3 linked regions of the Rhinolophus ferrumequinum genome follow. The protein of the gene in region 2 purifies or fractionates together with the protein of the main gene of each other region. This does not show direct contact. Links are inferred from orthologs where the notes say so. Each region holds a gene or a part of one and is shown on either strand. Other genes may lie near its edges. The genes, in order: EIF4B, EIF3F and PRRC2B.

Evidence for each region.
Region 1: the proteins of EIF3F (region 2) and EIF4B purify together in Homo sapiens (affinity purification with mass spectrometry; 3 studies listed by BioGRID). This does not show direct contact. The link is inferred for Rhinolophus ferrumequinum from reciprocal best matches to the Homo sapiens genes EIF3F and EIF4B.
Region 3: the proteins of EIF3F (region 2) and PRRC2B purify together in Homo sapiens (affinity purification with mass spectrometry; 3 studies listed by BioGRID and IntAct, counting the BioPlex papers as one, with this or other methods). This does not show direct contact. The link is inferred for Rhinolophus ferrumequinum from reciprocal best matches to the Homo sapiens genes EIF3F and PRRC2B.

What each region holds. Positions count from the first base shown.
Region 1 is NC_046293.1:52,974,742-52,982,694, forward strand, and holds the start of EIF4B (eukaryotic translation initiation factor 4B), read left to right. Parts: upstream 1-4,916; 5' UTR 4,917-5,049; coding exon 5,050-5,062; intron 5,063-7,953. UniProt on the Homo sapiens protein: Required for the binding of mRNA to ribosomes. Functions in close association with EIF4-F and EIF4-A. Binds near the 5'-terminal cap of mRNA in presence of EIF-4F and ATP.
Region 2 is NC_046294.1:43,958,014-43,965,318, reverse strand, and holds the start of EIF3F (eukaryotic translation initiation factor 3 subunit F), read left to right. Parts: upstream 1-4,233; 5' UTR 4,234-4,253; coding exon 4,254-4,641; intron 4,642-7,305. UniProt on the Homo sapiens protein: Component of the eukaryotic translation initiation factor 3 (eIF-3) complex, which is required for several steps in the initiation of protein synthesis.
Region 3 is NC_046295.1:79,364,652-79,371,608, reverse strand, and holds the start of PRRC2B (protein PRRC2B), read right to left. Parts: upstream 3,102-6,957; 5' UTR 2,950-3,101; intron 1-2,949.

The sequences.
Region 1 (7,953 bases), on a different chromosome or scaffold from region 2:
ACCCAACTTGCATACCACACGAGGCTTTATCAGTGGCCGAACCTTAAGGGAGCCAGCAGGTGGTAGTAGGTCTCAAGGTGTCCTGGCTTTTTGTAGAGCTACCTCAGGCCCAGCATTGGTGGCAGCCATCCTCAGTTTACAGCATGGCCTCTCTCATGCGCCTCCAGGTTTAGCACAGACAGCGAGCAACCACTCCAAAGTGGCAGGACCACTTTGTAGCTCCTACAGCTAGTCCCCAGCTGGTCACAGGCAGTGGGTGACCTAGGCCTGCACCAGAGCCCCTTGCAAGGGGCCCCAGAACCAACATACTTGGAGGTTGGCTTCAGACCATAGCAAAGCACCACCCAATTAGCACCACAAATGGCACACCCAAAGGGTGGTCTCAACAGGCCAGAGCCCACTAGGATGAACCCATTCAGTGGAGTAAGCACTGCACAGCAGCCTATAAGCTGTGGACATGGCCAAACCCCACAGCCAATCAGCCTGAGGGTCAATCCCATCCAGTAATATGCCAATAGCAATCAAGGTTCAACTACAGCAGGAGGGCACACACAAACCACACAAGGGACACTCCTGAAGCACCCAGAGCAGGTGACCAAGGAGACTGTGGCAGGGCCCCACAGGGCACCTCCTGCATAAGGCCACCAGCCAAGAGACATAGGAGACATAGCAGATATACCTAATACATAGAAACAAACACAGAGAGGTAGCCAAAATAAGGAAACAAAGAAATTGTGTCCCAAATGAAAGAACAGGAGAAAACTCCAGGAAAAGAACTAAACAAAATGGAGGCAAGCATCCTACCAAAAATACAGTTCAAAACAATAGTTATAAGGATGCTCAAGGAACTTAGAACTTCAAAAAAAGAGACAGCAAGCATAAAAAAGGACATAGAAACCATAAAAAAGAACAAGTCAGAAGTGAACAATCCAAAACTGAAATGAAGAATGCACTAGAAAGAATCATCAGCAAACTAGATGAAGCAGAGGATCAAATCAATGATTTGGAAGACAGACAAGGTAGCAGAAAACACCAAGTCAGAGCAGCAAAAAGAAAAAAGAATTTTAAAAATGAGCATAGCTTAAGAGACCTCTGGGACAACATCAAGCATAACAACATTCACATCATAGGAGTACCAGGAGAAGAGAGAAAGCAAGGGATTGAGAGCATGTTTGAAAAAATAATGACTGAAAACTGTCCTAACCTGGCAAAGGAAATAGACATACAAGCCCAGGAAGCACAGAGTCCAAAACAAAATGAACGCAAACAGGCCCACGCGAACACACATAATAATTAAAATGGCAAAGGTTAAACATAAAGAGATAATCCTAAAAGCAGCAAGAGAAAGGCAACTAGTAACTTATAAGGGAGCTCCCATAAGATTGTCAGCTGATTTCTCAACAGAAACTTTGAAGGCCAGAAAGAATTGGCACAAAATATTCAATGTGATGAAAAGCAAGGACCTACAACCAAAGTACTGTACCCAGCAAGGCCGTCATTTAGAATCGAATGACAGATATTAAAGGACAGATAATAAAAAGGATCCCAGATAAGAAAAAGCTAAAGGAGTTCATCATCACCAAACCAGTATTAAAAGGAGTGTTAAAGGGACTTCTTTAAGACGGAGGGGAAAAAGATCAAAATTATGAATAATAAAATGTCAATAACTATATATCTATCAACAATTACTTTCAATGGAAATGGATTAAATGCTCCAATCAAAATACATAAGAGTGCTGAATTGATAAGAAAACAAAACCCTTTCATATGCTGCCTATAAGAGAATCACTTCAGATTGAAAGACACACACCGATGGAAGGCAAAAGGATGGAAAAAGATATTTCGTGAAAATGGAAACAGACAGAAAACAACAACAAAAAGCTGGGGTAGCAATACTTATACCAGAAAAAAAAATAGACTTTAAGACAAAGGCTGTAACAAGACAAAGAAGGACCCAATAATCCCACTTCTGAGTATTTATCTGAAGAAACCCAAAACACTACTTCAAGGTACCTGTGCATCCATATGTTCATTACAGCATTGTTTACAATGGCCATGATGCGGAGGTAACCTGGGTGTCTGCCAATGGAAGAATGGATAAAGAAGAGGTGGTACATATACAGAGGGTGCCAAAGAAATGTATACACATTTTAAGAAAGGAAAAAACTGTATTAACATTGTAATACTCAATATATACTGATAACAAAAATGAATACAAGTCATGTGTATACATATTTTTGGCACCACCGGTATACAATGAAATATTGCTTGGCCATGGAAGGGAATAGATTCTTGCAATTTGCCAGTGGCATGGATGGACCTGGAGGGTATTGTGATGAGTGGAGTGTTAGACAGAGAAAGATAGATGCAACGAGATTTCACTTATGTGTGAAATCTAAAGAACAAAGTAAACAAATAAAACAGAAATAAACTCCTAGATACAGAGAACATTTTGATGGTTGCCAGAGGAGAGGGAATTGGAGATGTGAGTGAAAAGGGGGAAGGAATTAAGAAGTACAAATTGGTTGTTACAAAGTCATGGGGATGTAGGGTATAGCATAAGGAATATAGTCAATAATATTGCAATAACTATGTATAGTGTCGGATGGGTACCGGATTTGTTGGGGTGATAGATGGGAGGAGGTCTGGGGGCAGGATGAAAAAAGTGAAGGGATTAAGAGGTACAAATTGGCAGTTACAAAATAGTCATGGGGATGTAAAGTAAAGCATAGGGAATATAGTCAATAATATGGTAATAACTATGTATAGTGCCCGGTGGGTACTAGACTAGTCAGGGGGATCACTTCTTAAATTATATAAATGTCTAACCACTATTCTGTACACCTGAAATTAATATAAAATAATACTGAATGTCAACTGTAATTGAAAAAATTTTTGAAAAGGGGAACGGAAACAAGAGGTCCAGATTTCCAGGTATAAAACAAGTCATAGAGATGTAATATACAGCATAGGGAATATAGTCAATAATATTGTGATAGCATTGTATAGTGTCAGATGGTTGCTGGATTTATCATAGTAATCACTTCTTTAGGTATATAAATGTTGAATGACTATGATGTACCCTTGAAATAATATAATATTGTATGTTAGCTATATTTTTAATAAAAATCTTTTTAAAAACATTTTAATTTCCCTTAAAATTGTAAGTAAAACAAATATTCGAGTCAAAGAATATGTTTTAGTGTATAATATTAATATATTTGTCTTTAAACCAACATAATCATAAAATATAATTTTTAATATTGTTTTTAAGTAGAAAGGTGTCTGTGAAGGAAAAAGTGCCTAGAGTCCATGAAAAGTTATAATGGTGTCCTGTCATCAACAATCTTTTGCCTAGTCTTTCCCTTCCATTACTGCATCTGTATAATCCACTCTCCATTCAGTAGCCCTGAGTATTCTTCCTGTGGGTGTTTTGTGTTTTTTTTTTTTACATTTAAGTATAACTTCTGTAAGTGCATAACTCTTAAGTGTACTATGCGATGAATTTTTACATAAATATACACTCATGTAACCACCACCCACATCAAGATACTGATCTTTTTCAAAATTTTATTTCAAGTCATGACATTCTCTTGTATAAAATCCCTCCATGCTTTCCCAGCCCACTTGGAATAAAATCCAAACTCCTAAACCTGGTTTACAAAGCCTCACATTATCCAACCCATACATATATCTGGAACTTCATCTTGTACTACTCTCCCCACTCCCTTAACATACTCCACTGCCTTTAAACTCCTCAATTTGCGGAGCAGCTGGTCGGCGTAGTGGTTGGAGCGCGGTGTTCATGGCACCAAGGTCACCAGTTCGATTCCCACATGGGCCAGTGAGCTGCGCCCTCCACAACTAAACTGAAGAAACAACAATTTGACATGGAGCTGATGGGTCCTGGAAAAACACACGGTTCCCCAATAATCCCCAATAAAAAGCTTTAAAAAATTTTTTTTTAAATTCCTTAAGTTGCCAAGATGTTCCTACCTTGGAGGTTTTGATCTAGCTATGCACCCTCAGCTTTCACCTAAAACTCTTCCTAAAGTTGTTCACAGGGTGGGCTATTTGTAATTCAGATCTATTTAAATGTCACTTCCTCAGAGGCCTTCCCCAATTAGGCAATCTAGAATTACACCCAATCATCTTTTATCAAATCACCTTAATTACCTAGAGTGCTTATCGTTTATAGTATTTTTTCCTTCACTGCTTATTGTCTGCCTTTCCCTCACCGAACTATAACTTCCTTTGGGGCAATTTCGTTCTCTTGTACTCAACAAAGCCAGTAATAGTGCCTGACACATGGTAGATGCCCAATAAAATTTTTCATTGAATGAAATTCTAATATATGATAAAATGTAGCATTAGCTAGAGAAATCATAGGTAGCACTCCTTTCTGAAATTATAGGGCCTGAGTTTGATTTAAACCAGCCAGTAAAATGGAGGATTAAAAGAAGTAAAAAAGAAGTAAAAACCGATGGCAATGAAGTGTTCTGTATTTGTTACTTTTTTATTCCTTCTAAATATGCCCAATAAAAACCATCCTTACCCAGGATAGTGGGCTTGTTTTGCTTCAACAAAAAGTGATATAAAAAGAAATTCGGAATCTTCGCTTTCATAAAATCAATTGAAGCACACCGATTCCAGGTTCCAGACCGCCTCCATTCGGTCCAGAGAACTGTCCTAGCCAGCGGGGCCCCTCCCCTTCCGTTTACCCCCACCGGCCGGAAGTCAGCGAAGGAGACCCCGCCCCGTACTCAGACCCTGCCCCGGGTTCGCGCGTAGCCCTACGTAAAGCAGTACAGGTTTCGCGACAGCCCAGGCCCCACCCCTTTGGCCACATGTCGCGCAGGTCTTCCGGTCGGACGCCGCGCCACCTCCTCGCGCTGCTTTACGAACCTAGAGCAGCACCGCCCCGCCTCTCTGTTCTTCCTCTTCACCTCCCCGCCCCCTCCCAGTTTTGCGTCTCCTAGTCCGACGCGCCCGCTATAATCACGTGATTGCCTCATCCGGGTCCTTTGCGTTCTCTCTCCCTCTCCCAACATGGCGGCCTCAGGTGAGTGAGCGGCTGAGCTCGGCCAAGGACCGGGCTCCCAAGCCACTCTCCGAGCCTGCTCCACTGATCCCCTGGAGTCGGGGAGTGGGCGGCACCACTTCCCTTTGGATCTGGGAGCTGCGGCAGGCTGGCGGCTTGGCCGTGTTAGGTTTTCGCCTCGGGATGTTTGGGGGGGAGGGGAAGGACACCCTCCCCCTCGCACTCTTTTCACCCCGTCTGCGCGAGGTTGGAGCGGGGAGTAATGATGGACTCTGGCTTGAGTTGGAATGAGGAGGAGGCGCAGAAAGATCTACAGGGGGCGTGAGGCCTTCTCATAGATGTGAAGCACTGTGCCCGCGTGGAGGAAGGAAGGAGGCGGTTGGCGCGCGGACGGGTGCACACTAGACTAGGTCCCCGAGGCGCGAGGCCGTTGCGGACAGGAGTGGGGGCAGGGGAAAAAAGGGGGGGCAGTTACAACACGATCGCGAGTCGGTGGAGGGGCGGAGGAAGGCAGCGGTGCGCGTGCGCGCTAGGCGAACCGAGGGTAGTGGAGACGGGCGCGCCTTAAAAGCACGCGCGAGAGCGCAGATGGCAAGATTTTACGCGTCTCTGTTGGTTTCTTTTATATCCTTTCACTTTCTATTCTTCATCTTTTAGAATGGGCCCGGCCCCTGTATTCTCCCAAGGGATATATGTGTTAGGTTTGGGGGTTGAAGCTACTAGAGTTAAGTGGGGGTAGGGAACACATTGGTGCGCCCACGTGTTGGGGAGGAAGCAAGGCTAGACAGATTTCTTCTAGGCTTTTTTTCCTTAATTCAATCAACACATTTTTACTGAGCGCAAACTATGCCAGGCGCGGTTCTAAGTGTTGGAGATACAATGGTGAACAAGCCCCGATTCCTTGACAGCTTCCATTTTGATGGAATTTTTATAGCTCCAGTGGTGGTGTTCAGCCCTTTTTTTCTTTTTAAGATAATTGAACGACGGTTAGGAGGTGGTTTTAAAATAATGCTAGTGGCTGGAGTTGGTTCCTGATTTAGACCTCTTAGGGATAGGGAATATCACTCATAAAAGTCCACTTGCATTTCTGATGCACTTAGCAGTGAGCTATGTAACATTTTGTAGTATTAATTTTAGTTTGGGGGATTTATAGTCGACACTCCTTATCAGCGGATTGAACCATGGGGATAGAAAATATTGGGGGGAATGTTAAGTTGTTCCTGATGTGTGCTGTGTAGTTAGCCTATGATAGTAGTCTGTAGTGAACATGGGTAGACTTGTCATTATTCCCTAAATACAGTATATAAGAACTATTTACATAGCATTTACATTGTATTAGGTATAAGTAATATTGAGATGATTTAAAGTATATGGGAGGATTGTGTGGGGTGTGTGCAAATACTATGTCATTTTATTAATATATAAAGGACTTGAGTATCTGAGGATTTTAATATTCAGGGAAGTCCTGGAACCAATCCCCCTACGGGTTTGGCAGATCAACTAATTTCTTTTCCCTGGCATGACCCTGCATTCTATGAAACATTTATCGAACCCTTGCTATCTCTGCACATTCACTTCCCACCAAGAATTATCTTCTCTGTTATTACATAGGATACTAAGGATTATGTATGTCTTTGGAAAACGAGGGAATTGAGGTGTATTTTAACATAATACCTTTCATTGGTGTAGCACTGGACAATTGACCAAGCACTTTTGTGTCTATTGTCTCATTTGATGCTTTGTGAGATAAATGTAGGCAGGTAATATCTACCAGATGAGGAAGATGAAATTATTTGTTCAAGGTCACACTGTATGCACATGGCAGAGCAAGGTCAAAGTCTTTGAGACTCCTGACTCTTCATTATCAACTTGGAAATAACAAGGTTGGCTTCCATATCATAAGTTTGGGGTGCTGCCCTAAAGCTTCATCTGAAGCTTATTTGGCCTGGATTTACCATCTTAATGGCTTAGTGTCATAATTTAGTGAAAAGCCTATACTCCCCTTTCTCCATAACTTTTGTGGAATTTTTAGAAGTGGAAGAAACGTTAGCAATCCGCCTTAGTTTTACAGAGTTGCGTGAAATCCAGACTGGTTAAAGGGATTTACTTAGTGATGTCTCCTCCTGTTCTTCCATATTTACCCACTTGGAAACCCTCATCTCCTTAATCCCATAAATCTTTAGATTGTGTAGTATGTATAAGGGACACTATGCTAGTGTCTGAGCACAAGGTTACATCTGACAGTCTGTCCTTGAGGAATCTGGGATTAGCAAAATTCTTTCCTCACCTGGAATCTTTTCCAATCAATTGCATTGACTTTGATAAGTGACCCGTATTCCCATATATTGGGCACTCAACCAATATGGCTGTACTAAAACTATAAAACTTTCAGTGTGTGTTTTCAGTATACTTTTTAATGTCAAATTTGTTAGATACAGGTTAATAATTTTTGAGACTAAAATGCTTTGAAATTGGAAATCGTGAATGGATGCCTATAGAAGTTCTTTCGTTTGTATAACACTTCAAAAATGCCATTATATATAGGATCTTGTTTCATTGATTTTTTTATGGAGAGGATGGTGTCCAATGGTAGTTTTCATGCATGCTGACCCTTATAGTTAAAAGTAGTTTCATTGGTTGCCATTTATGCCGTTTACATATTAACCTATTTTCAAATCCCATCCTTTACCATATGTTATTCTGGGAGTAAGATAACCAGAATCAGAATGCCAAGACTAAAACTCCCGAATACAGGGAGTAGTGTCAAAGGAAAAGAATATTTCTAAGTAAAGTCATTTAAGTATATACTTTTAAACAGCTTTGAGATATAATTCACGTACCATATATGTATATCTGAAAACATCCTAGAATTCTCTTTTCATGATGGGGGAAAGAATTAACTTCAGGGGGAC
Region 2 (7,305 bases):
CCCTATATTCTGCACAAAGGATGAGAAAGAGCATCCCTTAAGGGTGGAGGACTGGCTTAGGCAGGCTGTGAGGTGGCTGTCTCCCAGGTACCTCTCCTCCCACTCCAGGGCTCCAGTGCCCGTTGCTCAGCAGGTTCTCCCAGAGTCCAGGAAAACAGGCAGGAATGGGATTGGTCTGTCCCAGAGCCTTAACCAAACTATGGCTAGAGACAGAAGCAAGACAGCAAAGAACCAAGCCCAAGGGACCAAGATGGGAAAATGGAGTGAGACACAGCCACATAGACCATGTGACAGAAGAAACGAGTAAAGCCACTTACTGTGAAGACTCTCAGGTCTGCCTCCCCTAGAAGCCTCCCAGTCTGGAGATCGCAGGGCCAGGGACTGAGAGTCACACCTAAAGGAAGTAGAAATGATATGCAAAATAACCAATTTTAATTGGAGGCTAGAGGCAGGAAATGAAATGAAGCCTCCCTCCCTGTTAACCCTGGTCTGGCTGTGGGCAGAACTGACAACTGGTATAACAGTCCCAAAAAGGGAAGAGGTGGAGACAAAAGAAACAGAGACCAAGGATGGAAACTGTCAGCTAAGATATACAAAGAGGCACAAGAGAGAAATGAGCGGACAAAACAGTCAGAGAGAGAAACAGACAGACAGATGAAGCTAGCTGATGGGTATGGGTCTCTCTCTCTGTGTCTCTCTCTCTCTCTCTCTCTCTCTCTCTCTCTCTCTCTCTCTCTCACACACACACACACACACACACACACACACACACACCTCAAACACACACACACATTTATGCACTCCATAAATAGGGTTCTGCCTGCCTGGATCCCTCAGCATCCTGGATGTACGAGTATGCATTCCCTTGTCCTGGCCAATCAGCATCCCCAGGAAGACAATGCCAATGATCACCCTCCTTCTGCCCCTGAGCTATGTGGCTGGAGGAAAATACAAAAGCTGACCAGATCCTTGAGGTCTCCAGGCTCAGCTGGGCCCTCCCATAATTGTTCAATGCCTTTGATGGCTCACTCTCGGCCCTTCTTCCAAATACTGCCCTTTGCTCCAAGGCTGAACCCGATCTATCTATCCATTGCCATTCTCAGCAGATCACTTTGCCTCCGCTTCCCTGAGAAAAAATAAACATCATTTGACAAGAGCTCCTGCAACTCCCTTCTCTTTCCAATTCAAAGTGTCTCCGATTCTTCATCCATCGTTTTTTTCCTTTCCTACCAGAGAGAAAGGTCTTTAGACCATCGATACAAAGGCAAAGTTCAGGGTGGTGAAGAGTCCACACCCAACTCAAATCAACATACGAATGGGAAGTACCAAGGTTGTGCGTGGTCAGGTCGAGACAGCAACACCTCTTCATTGGGGATGGTGCTCTCCTCTGAATTTCTCCCCATGGAATGATCTCGGCACCACCCTGGGCTACGGCAGACCCCCATATGGCACCCATAAAGGAGGCCATATCCCGGAGTCTCTCTCCAACATATCCCTCGTCCTGCCCAAGACCATTTCTCTCATCTAGGCTTCTCCATTTGGGTCCCACTTCCTGCTTTGTTTCATTAGATAGCTTCCCTTGCTCACACTTGTATATTCAATCTTTCTCCCTTCTTGAGATTCTTACTCTTCGTTTAAAATATACTTAAAACTCTTCCAGCCTAAACTGTCCCCCTTTCCACAGCTACTGCCTTAAATGTCTCTTTTCCTTCCCAGCAACTTCCTTGAGAGAGTAGCCAGCACTTACTGCCATCAATTCAAATTGACCATTCTCTCACACCTGAATTCCAGTTTCCAAGCGCACCCCACCTTCAGTTTCACTGACAGTGCTCTACTAGGGTTGCTAAAAATCGAGGTCATCAAATCCAAGAGTCATTTTTCAATCCTCCTCTGATAAGCTGTTCACCTGTGTTTGAGGGAACTAAGAATATGTATGTTTACCCAGAGCACTGACGGGAGTAGGATTACGTGAATTTTAATTATAGAAGGTAGCTCCAAGGAGAAAGCAGTTCTTGGGCATAAGAGTTGGGGCTAAGAAGCCCAAAATCCCCCATCCACCTTGACAGCTGGACGCTGGGACTTAACCTAATTAAGGGAGTTGATAGGTTTCCTGACAGGCAGCTATTATCAACCCCGTTAGACCAAACAGGAAACGGAGACTCAGAAAAAATTATAGATTGCCCAGAGTTACACTGTAAGTTAGGATCAGAGTTCCTTCCATCACATAGCAACAATAATAGCTACCAAATAATAATAATAATAATAATAATAATAATAATAATAATAATAATAATACATCTCAATGGTGATACATCCAAAAATGAACTTGGCATAGAGGAAAAACTGAGGGTTGCTAGATGGGAGGGAAGGTAGGGATAAAGCGGAAGGTGAGGGGATTAGAGAGCACAGTCGGTAACCACAAGATGGCCACAGGGATACGAAAGTCAATTTGGGGAATGTAATCAATAATGTAAAGATTTTGTAGGGTATCTGATGGATACTTGTCTCGTTACACCTCAGGGATGATATAGATGCCTGATCACTGCACTATACACCTGAAGCGGAACAATAATGTCAACTACAATTTTATATATGTGTGTGTGTGTGTGTGTGTGTGTGTGTGTGTGTGTGTGTGTGTGTGTATACATATATATAGTTACAAGAAGTGGAGTACCGCATTAGGAATAGAGACAGTGGAAATGTAATGGCTGTGTACGATGTCAGAGGGGTAGTGGGTGGGGCGATAGGGGTTGACACTGTGTGAGGGATATAAATGATAAATGTCTATTACATTGTTTTGTGCACCTGAAACTAATAAAACAAAAGTTTAAGAAAAAAATGAACTTGGGATCTTTTCCCAAAAACTTGCTGCACTTGTAGCTTTCACTGTCTCGATTATTGACAACTTCTTCATACTAGTTGCTCAGCACAAAAAATTGGAGTCATCCTTGACTTTCTCTTTCACACCTCGCATACAATTTCTCAGAAAATCCTGTTGTCTCTACCTTTAAAATATACCTGTAGGGGGTGGCCGATTAGCTCAGTTGGTTGGAGCGGTGTTGGTACTAGCACCAAGGTTGCCGGTTCAATCCCCACATGGGCCACTGTGAGCTGCGCCCTCCTTACAAAAAAAAAAAATATATATATACCTGTAATCTGCCCACTTCTCACCACTTGCACTGCTACTGGTTTGGTGCCAACCACCGTCATCTCTCTTAGATTTGGTAATCTCATACCATGTCCCTCTGCTCTTTCTCGTCTGCCTCTCCCCAGTAACCGAGCCCCCTATTGTATTTTTCTCAAAGCAGCTATAGTGATCCTTTTAAAACTAAGACAAATCATGACCCTCCCCTGCTCAAAACTTGGCAATGGTTCCCCATTTCTTTCAAACTAAAAATGAAAGTCCTTACCCATACTGTGCCCTAGGAGGTCTTTAATGATCTCTAATCCCTGTTTAGGGGTCCATCTCCTGCTGCTCCAGGCCGATCTTAACTCTCCAGCTGCCAAATAGCCTCTTCAAACACAACAGGCCTACTCCTGCCTTCAGGGCTTTGCACTAGCTGTTCCCTCTACCTGGAAGCTCTTTTCCCCTCACACTTCATAATGGCCACCTCATTCGCCTTTTTCAAGTACACTCAAATCTCACACTGTCATTGTGATCCACCCTAATTCCTCACAACTCCTCATTACCCATTACTCTCCGCTACTTTTTCCTTTTTCTTAGAACTTCCTACCTTCTAACATATATAATGTACTTATTTGTCTCTCCCCGCTACAATGTAAACTTTTCAAGGACAACGATTTTTGTTTTGTTTACTAATATATTCCTTTAAAAAGCCTCTGGCACATATTTTATTTAATGAATAAACCACCTTAGGACCCTGTCAAGGACAAAGCCCTTTATAATAAGGCACCGTGACAGCCATTATCCCATTGAAGTCTGAAAACACGATTTGCGACACTTGTGCAGCGTTCTGGCTCCATCTGGCGACAACTATGCAGACGGAGCTGCTTCTCTTCTCCCAGTGCGGTCCCAAGTTTCTTCGGAACTATTTAGCTCGGTCTCACTGAATGCGCGTCGACCTAGATCGAAGAGCACAAACTCGGAGCCGGAAATTGTAGTGCCGTGAGAAGCATCATCAGTAACCAATAGGCACAAAGACCTTGTTCACGTGGTGCATATTCAGCCTATGGTGCTCCTAATGTTTCCAAGCTTACTCTTTTCCGCTCCAGGCTCCTTCTCTCTGGACAAGATGGCCACACCGGCGGTACCGGCGAGTGCTGCTCCCACCACTCCGACCCCAGCCATGGCTGCTGCCCCAGCCTCAGCCCCAGCCCCGGCCCCAGCCTCAGCTCCAGCGCCGGCGCCGGCTCCAGTGCCGGTTCCAGCTCCAACTCCAGCTCCATCCTCATCCCCAGACCCGGCGGCAGCAGCGGCTGCGACCGCGGCCCCGGGCCAGACCCAGGCTTCACTGCCAGCAGCAGCGCAGACCCCGGCGCAGTCGCTGGCTAGTCCTGCTCTACCCGGCCCCTTCCCCGGCGGCCGTGTGGTCCGACTGCACCCTGTCATTTTGGCCTCTATCGTGGACAGCTACGAGCGACGCAACGAGGGTGCTGCCCGAGTTATCGGGACCCTGCTGGGTGAGTAAGTGGTCAGAGAAAATTGACGTTTTCTTCTACCTCCCACCTCTCCTTTATCTGACTCCCCTTTCTTCACATCCGCGTTGATCTCTTACCTGTTTCTCCATTGGACCGTCCTGTTGGGACTCATCTTCCCAAAGAACTTGAACTTTCTTGCCTGATTGCTGTCACTTTGTGCAACATAATGTATATGAAGAGTAGTTCTGTATTAAGTAAATATCGTGTACCGAGCCATTTACATTTTAATCTTCCCAGTAGCATTTCACGTCAAGTATGATCAGCCCCAGTCTACCAAAAGTGAGTTCCAATGCTAAGTAAGGCAAAAACCCTTGACTCCCCAGTGACCACGTTTTTTCCCGCTTATCTACTAAATGTCTTTATTTTCTAGGTGTTTGCAAAGAAGTTTCTAACCAGTTGGCAAAGGGAGCATCTGTTAAGAGATATCCCTCTCAGCAAGTAAACCGATTTGGCAGGAACCCATTTAGAATTTCAGTAATAATCTGATTAACTAAGTGTGTAAGCCTGAACCCCTGTCCCTTCCTCTCCCTAATTCGTAGATGCTGTTCCCCCAGAGCTGTCTCTGATTCTCCATTTGGATACAAACAATTGTATTATGTTTATGATACTGCTTAACCTTCAAATCAAAGAATAACCTTTCCCTACCCATGTCCCAAATTTGGGGAAATAGATATTTTATGTTAAAAGTAATTTGTAAATCCAAGACGCACTAAAGAGGAATTACTGGTAATTTATCCCTTTTTCTGGATTCTGCTGGTCTCATCAAATTCATTTTCACTCCATCTAAGTCACAAATTTTAGACCCCTTTGTGCATCCACTCCAATTGTATGCATCATTTCTCTTTCTTACTCTTGAACATGTAATAGTCCTTCTACCATAGAAAACAATAGGTGTATTACAAAGAGGACACAATTTGAGGCAGATTCCATCAAATATATGCCTTGTGCCTTGGGACAAATAACCTAAAGTCTACTTCCTTCAGGGGCTACTTTAGACTTAGTCTTTGTGAAAACTTACTACAGAAAGCATCTAACTGCTGGCACACATTAGGTATGAAACTGTGGGCACACATTAGGTACGAAACGGCTGTTGGTTGCCAACCTGCACCATGTCAGGCCTATACCACCCCTGAAACACACACACATTCTCTTTTTATTTGAGAAAGTAGCATTTTGCAGAAACTTTAATCAATCCATTATTTTCCGAACATTGCCATGGTTTTTCTCAAGCGTTTGTATTTTCTTTGCCACAAGTGCCTTCCCTGCTCTCACTTGTCCGTTCAAGTTCCACTCATCTTCCAGGAAAAGTGTTCAGTATTGGTCCTACGTCCCATACTCTCACCCTCACCCTCATTCTTAACTTCCCAAAGTATGGTAGCATTCTGTGACTGTCCTGCTTTGAGCTTCTGTAATAAATGATTTTTGCATCACTGACTTGGCACTCGACAAATACTTACTCTCTTTCAGCTACACTGTCAAATTTCCCAAACTCACTGGTGCTATTTAACTAAAGAAACAATTCTCCACCCAAGGTTTGTGCTAAGTGCCCTAAATGGTACAATGACTCTAGTTAGAATAACTGTAATCTAGATCTTCAGATTCTCTTCCAAACAGGGGTCAGGTATGACAGCGGCAGTGCTTACTGAAGAATGAATCATGGATTCTGCTTGCTAGGAACTTACACATTTTCTCAGTTAGACATTAATTCATGAAAAATATTTCATTTGGTTAAATGAAGTCACTGGTGCTTTATGTACTATAAAATCGTTAGGTACTAGAATTCAAAGTTTGATCAAACGAGCTCTAGTCTAACCCTAAATTGAAGCTGAAGATACACTCTTGTATGCAGGTAATTAGAATATAATAGGATAAATGCTCTAATAGAAGGATGTCATAGTGGCATGGAAAATATAGAAGACTTAACTATTTCAGAAGCTTGAAGTGGTCAAGTCTTTCGGATGCTGCTGAGAGGTCAAATAAGATAAAGACTATGTATCCACTGGGTTCGAGGACATAGTTTCAGCAAAGGAGGCAGAAACCATAGTAAGGTGGAACTAGACACTAACGGGTATAGGCACCATTGTGGTCTGTGGTGAGGAGGGAAGCACTTGAAGCCTGGGATGGGAGATGTCAGTACATTAGAGAAAAGTAGAGAAGTCAAGGGACTAGCCGTCTTAGGTCCAGAAACACATGTGGGCAGTGGGAATAAAGTTACCAGAACTAGAATAGAAGTTTGTGGTAAAAGACTCACATCGATGAAGTTTCACAGGTAGAGGGTTCCTGGATGATGATATGGTTATGACCATGGAACCAGATGGCTGACGGGAGGTACAGGTGACGCTCTCTAAACGGTTCTCTGACTAGGCTCCTAGAGGAGTGGTCTATGTAGACATAATTAAAATCTTCCAGGTAGCCCTGCAGACTAAATTACAAGGAGAGAGTGTAGAGGCTGGAAAAATGACGGTCACAGTGTCAAGGTCTGGAGTAGACTGATAGCAGGAAGTAACAGGCGAAAGGAGACCTTGTGAAGGGAGAATAGGCCCCGCGTGATGGTTAAAGGAAGGCATTGGCGGTCACTCCAGGGCTTTAGTTCTCTGGAGAATCCTGGTGCCACTGATGCACATGACTGAACTGGGAGCTAATGAG
Region 3 (6,957 bases), on a different chromosome or scaffold from region 2:
TTTGTGCAAAGCAAAAAAAAAAAAAAAGATATTCAAAGTACAATAAAATAATCCTTCAGGGGAAAAAAAGAACTGAAATTTAAAAGGGAGTTGTGTGAACAGACGAACCAAACGGCATAGCCAAAAGAAACCCTCAGCCAGGCCCAAGGAACTCGACCATGCTGGAACTAGTTCTGACTCGCCATTCCTGAAATTCCACTCTCCCAAGGTTTTCTGGCTCTTCCTTCCCCAGGCTTTTCCTTTGACCCATCTGGGTTCAAAGGAGACTGGAGAGGACCAGGGAGCTGCAGGAGATGGCAGGCCCTCCCAATGGGCACACAAGGCCCCCTTCACCGTGCAGTTCCGGAGCCCATGGATAACTAAAACACACAGGTAAGCAAATAGCTTGGTGAAAGGGGCAGCAGATTCATCTCCTTCCCTAACCAACCAGCTAACAAACCGCCCAGAGCCAGACTGGGCGGGAATGAAATCAGGTAGAAAGGATGGGCCAGGAGGCAGGAAGCAGGGAAAACTGAAAGGATGACATGACCCTGTTAAAATGTCTCAGTCCCACAGCCCGGAGGCCTGGAGGAGCTTACAAGGAGGTTTGAAAAAAAGAACAAAACAAAACCAAGATGGTTGTAGCAATGCCAAAATAACCAAATTTCGCATCAGACTGCAGAAGCACTATAATCCAAGCAGTCTCGGGGCCATTTACAAACAAGCTACAGGTTTCGCCCAGAGATAACCAGGTCTCATCCCTCACCGGTGGCCAAGACTGGAGTCAATCTCTCCTTTAACCTCTGTCCTTTCTATGGACTCCTATAAACAGCTGACAGCCAGGTTTGGCTGAGCACTGTAGCTCTTCTAAGCCATTCTGGCGCTTTCAGGCAGTTGAATGGACGTGACATAAAAACATGAGCCGGAGATAGAATTTGGGGTGGGAAGGTCACAGTTCCATCAATGAGAACTGGAGAAAAAGATCAGGAATAAGGAACAAGGAACCAGAAAACTAGGTAACCAACAAAAACAACGTACATTTTCATCACCCCCTCCACGTGGAAGCACTTTGCCACAAATAGCACAGGAGGATCCCAAGAGCCCCAACAGATTAATTAAAACAAAGCATAATTATTCCCATTTTACAGATGCAAGAGCTGAGGCTCAGAGCCTTGCATAAGGTAACCCAATGAGGGCCAGAATCCAAGCTCCAAGAGACAGGCTTGCCCAAACAAGCAGAGGCTCCCCAAATGATTATCTGCCCTTCCCAAAGGAAAGCAGTTATCCTCAAAAGGCAGGACTCCCTGGGCCTCTGCTTCTTGTACTGTTCTAGCTCTGTGTAGGAACAACCCCAAAGGGCAGGCACCCGGGATCCAAGCCCAGGGACCTCGTATCACACACTCCAGGTCTATTAGTCCTGGGGGGCTCCAAATGCTGCTGTCCCCTACTTGTCTCCCACAGTCCCAGCACTGAATAAGCAAGGGGCCTGTTCTGCTGTTCAGTGTCTTGAATCCTTTCGCCCTTGTCCAGGCTAGAGCCCAGCACCTGTGGCATCAGAAGGATGGCTAGGCTCTGTGGGTGGCACCACAAATGGCTAACTTCCATCCTAGGACCTGACGGCAGTTATACAAGCAGCCGTAGGAGGGACACCTATTGAGCACCAACTGTGTGCCAGGCCCTCTGCTAGGCCCTTCACCATCTTCCCAGCCCCAGGAGGTGGAGAGTGCAATGTCCCTATTTATGCCACTGAAGGCTCAGAAGACGCCGGAGGCCTGGGCCTCCTCTGTCCCACCTCGCACCACTGTGCACGGACAGGGCTGAATGGCTGCAGTCGGATTTGGAGAAACCACGCTAAGACTTCAAATGGATGGTTACAAAAACCGAGCTGGAGCATGTGTAAAGCCACATAAAATGCACATAAAACCTTAAAGGAAAAAAAAAAATCTCAGGGACGGTTAACAATCCTATAAACCAAAGGCTTTTAAAGGTTTCTCCCAGGCAGCCATTTAGCAAATGACACACTGGAGAGCGTCCCCAGCCCCCCTTCTCCGACTTCCTTCAACCTAACCATCCGCTTGAAATACACCCCCTCTTCTTGTCTAAAGGTGGGCTCGGACCTCCCACGATATTCAGGGAGAGGGAGAAAAGAAAACACCTTCCAACGTTACGTCGGCAAATCCGCTGCTCAGAGGCCCACCATCTCAACAGTGCTGTTTCTTACTTAGAAGGGAGAGGGGGGAAAAAGAAAAAAAGGAGAAAGAAAAAAACCCATCTGGCGGGGCCCAGTAGCGACATCCTGTTTATTATTACACATTTTCAGCAATAGAGCATTAAGCATTTTCAAAATAACCCTCTTGTTCCCGCACTGCAACCGCGACGGCGTCGGCGGCTGTTACCCCCGGCCCCGGCCCCCAGGCCAGCACCCCGACCAACTTCAGCCTCCCGGGGACCGGGCTGCCGCCGGCCCTCCCGCCCAGGGGTCGCCCGACCCCGCGGGGGGCGGTTTGAAAAGTGACCAGGTGCGGTTGATGGGGGTGCGGGAGAAGCGTCCGGGATAATCCCGGGCCGCCGGGCCGCGGGGGCGGCACGGTGACTCCTGGGACCGCGGGGCCGCTCCGCACCTCCAGCCGCTGCGCCCCCGCCCGGCCCCGGCGGCGGCGTGAGGAGCGGCCCCGACCCGCCGCCCGCCGCCCGCGCCGAGGCCGCGCGGCGCCGCCACAACAATGGCGAGCGGGCCCGGCCGCCCGCCCCGGGCCCGGCCCCGCAGCCCCCGGCCGGCCGGCGGGCCAACGGCGACCGCGCGGGGCGGCCCGAGGCGGGCGCGCTCGCGGACAAAGGTCGGCGGCGCCCGGGGCTGCCGTCCGTCAGCCAGCGCGGCCCAGACAAAGCCCGGCCGCGCCGCCTCCATCTTAGCGCCGCGCCCGCCGCCCCTCCGGCCCGCGCCGCCCGCGCCCCGCGCCCCGGGCCCACCTGGTCTGGGTCCGCGGGCGCGACTGGGCCGGGCGATGGCGGTCGGGCGGCGGTCGGGCGCGGAGGCGGCGGGATGGCGGCGGATTGCGAGGCGGCGGCGCGGCTGCTCGCTCGCTCGCTCCCTCCCTGCCGGCTCGCTCGTCGCTCGCTCGTCGCTCGCTGGAGCCTCGGAGCCTGTGTCTCGCCGCTCGCCTCCCTCTCGCGCGCCGCTCCCCGCCCCCCGCCTGCCGCCGCCCCCGCCTCCTCCGGCCTCCTCCTCGCGCCGCCGCCGCCGCCGCCCGCAGCCGCCTCCGCCCGCGCAGCGCCCCCTGCCGCGCCTCCCGGGAGCGCCAGCCGCCCGCCCGCCCCCGGCCGGAGGGGCCGGGGTCCCGGGGAGGGGGAGGGGCCGGCGCGGACGACGGGGGAGGGGAAGGAAAGAAGGGGGCCGGGAGGCGAGCCGGGGGAGGGGTCCCGGGGAGGGACGAGAGGCCGGGAGACAGCGGAGGGAGCCGGGAGAGGGGGCCTGGGCCTGGGGAGACTCGGCACTGGGGCTCCGGGAAGGGAACCGGGAGAGAAGGGGGAGGGGAGGAGGCCCGCGGGAAGGGGTTGGGGCGAGCGGGTGGGGGAGGGTGGACCGGAAGAAGGGGGGCTGGGATAGAGGGGGACCCGGGACGGGTGAGGTCCAGACGGAGGGAGGGCTGGGAGCGGGGGGGTGCCCTCATCTCCGCCCCCTCCCCCTTCAGAACTGCAGCGCCTCCTGATAGACCCAGAGCGAGATTTTGTTCAAATATGTGTGTGGTACATGCAGGGAAAGGAAACCGAAATGATACATTGTTAATTCAAAAGCAAGGTTGTTGCACAATATAGATACTTTATGCCATTTTTGTAAAATGAAAAATAATAAACGCATCCCCTTGAGTGCGTATTTGTGTGAATGCGAAACAAAAGGTCTGGGAGGATGTACTCCACTCTTGGTCACCTCCGCGGCGGTGGCGGGTCTGAGGTCGGCGGGTCTGAGGTCGATCCTAGAGGGGGCGGAGCTAAGGAGGATTCTCTGGCTTCTTATTCTAGTTACATTGGCGGTTAGAAAAAACAGCTTGTCCCTCTGGCATTTGTCCATATGCCCCAGCCGCAGGCCATGCCCTCTGAAATGGCTTGGGGTGGTTTGTCTCCTTTAATCCCAACCCTGGGACAGGTGTTAACGTCACAATTCACAGGTGAGAAAATGGAGACTTGCCCAAGGCCACACAGCAAAACCTGGAAGGAAAGTCCATCCATTTCAGCCTGACTCGAGTTAAGGTTAGCACTGAGCACAGCGCCTGGCACACAGTAGGTGTTCAACAAATATTGGTTGGTTTCTTGAATGTAGGAATGTGCGTCTGGGTCTTGACCTGATTGGCTGTGAAGGAAGGAACTCTGGGACTCACTAAGAATCGGAGGTTACCCCTTTATTATTTGACAAGAGGGAAGGTGAGATGAAAAGCTTGATGGCCCTTGAGTGCTCTGGAAGACAGAGAAGAGCAAGGGGGTAGAAAGGCAAGTCAGCAAATGCTCTGCTCCTCTAGCAGATCTGGAAGGGGAATGACGCCCTCTGGGGACAGCAAGGGTTGCTAGGTCCCTGGAAGTGAAATGGCAGCAGAGGCATCACTTGTACCCAAAAACCCTACGGCTTTTGTCTGGGATTCAGGAAGTCCTTGTCTTTCTGCATTTCTCTGCGGTGACAACAATGATAGGTGCTGTTTACTGAGCACCTTTTCTGGACCAGGCATGTTGCTAAGTACTTTGCAAGAAATAACTTTATCCTTGGGAGATGGTTATTATTGTTTCCACTTTCTGGATAAGGACATGGAGGTCAGAAGTTAAGGGACCTTAGACAAGGTCACAAAGGACCTGGGTGTGGAACAAGGATTTGAACCCAGCAGTGCCAGCCTTTGAGGTTGGAGCCTTTCCTCAGGGAAGGCACAGCTAAGATGCTGGGGTGGGTATGGGGGCCACAGTCTGTGGTCAGGCTGTCAGCCAGGGCTGGCACTGGGGTCTCTCCAGGACTCTGACGGTGCTCCTCCAAAGCCTCCCAGAGCTCACGACCCAGAGAGGACAGAGGGAGAAAGGAGAAAGGAGACAGCAGAACAAGAGGGCTGGACCAAGGCTGGACCTTGAGGTCATGTAGTCCCAGGAGACTCCTCGCAAGATAAGGGAGACATTCAAGGAGACATTCTATATTGTCAAAGTTACACTAAGGAAACAGCAGCAATCCAGAGCAGGAATATTGAAAGAACATAAGGAATGAGAGGACCACGCAGTACAAAGCTGGGGACAGTTGGCATGAACCAACGAGCAAGAGTTTATTTCGTTTTTGTCAGTTTTTTCCTCTTAAGTATGAGGAAACTTGCAACTCTGCTTATGGGTGGAGAAATCTTTTCAGACTCCCAAACTGAGCCAGAGGGGGAATTCCGCCCATCCCTCGTGCCTAATGCGTATTTTATGTAAACATAATTTTATTGTTTTTCAAAACACGATCATTGTCTTTGGATACAATGAAATTTAATATTTTTTTGTAATGCTTGTCATGTATTTCCTTAGCCATGATTTTCTTTTTTAAACCATAGTATGGCTAGATGTAAATGTCCTTTGCATTATTTTCACGTGGAATATGCAAAGTCCTGTGATTCATCAGATTTGGGTCCTTTTTTACAAACTCATCTGGAAAGTTGCCTCCTTATGCTCTGTGTTCTCTTTCCTTTACTTGGGTTTCTTCTTCTCTAACCCCCAGCACACAGTCCTAGTCTTGCTGGTGACTGTCATTTCTACACATGTCTGTATCCCTACAAGACTAGGAGCTCATCCAAACAGGGTCACTGAATTGTTTATTTTTAAATTCCTGGCACCTAGCACACACTCAGTGGCACATAATAGGTGTTTGATGAGAGGTTATGGGATGAAAGAAGGAAACAAAATGAAAGGAGACAGAATCTTGAGACTCAAAGAAGGAATTTGACCTCTGCTGGTGCCATGTCCAGTCCTGGCCTCAAAGGGAAGCCAGAAAAGCTTCCACTCTTCCATTGCCTGGAGAGTCTAAGACTTTGCTGGGTGCCTCTCATCCCTCCGTCAGTAATAGTTACCACTTTTTGAGCACTCTCAGAGGAGGAAATTCAAGCACAGACAGGCTTAGGGACTTGCCCAAATTCACACGGAGCTGGTGACAGAGCTGAAAAAGAAAGAAGAGCTGGAAAGGAAAATGCACACGTGTTAAGGGCACCCACTTTCTGTATATCTCAGCCTCTTCACCATGTTTTTGTGAGTTAGGATTGTGATCACCCCCGTTTTACAGATAAGTAAACTGAGGCTCCAGGACCTTCACCCACCACTGCTGGTGGCCAGATACTGAGTGCTACTACTGTATTTAGGAGAGCCTCTCTGGTCAGCCCGACGCCAGAAAGCCCTGGCATATCAGTGTCCCACTGCAGGACAGGGAAGTGGGGGAATCACTTGACACTGTGAACACAAACACAGAACAAGCCTGTAAAGCCCTGGCTCAGGCACAGAGCCTGGGGGCAGCCCTGGAGACCGCTCACGTGGGCTCTGTTTGGCTTCAAGGCCATGCCTCCAGCCACTCTGAGCCCAAATGTTGTCCAGACATGCCCGTGCACGCAGAGGTCCAGCCAGCTCACCTACGTTTCTGAGGGAGGCCTGTCCAAGCTAAAGCCAGAAGCAGGTATGGGGTCTGTGCCCTTCTACCAGGCTTCCCCCAGCACGAATCCGTGGTTAAGAGTGCTGGATTTGGAATCAGACAGACTTGAGTTGAATCTGTCTCTGTCTTCATTTACTGTGTGTCTTTAGACAAGTGACTATAATTCTCTGAGCCTGTGAAAACCGGGAAAGGGGTTTGTTGTGAGAATTGAATGAGATGGTGTGCACTGTTGTCGGCGCAAGCTGGTGACCAGCAGGCATTCAGCACATGTTGGTTACCACTGTCATTCCTTCTTACTCACAGGCATGTGCGAGCTTCCTTTATCAGTCATCAAGTGCTGT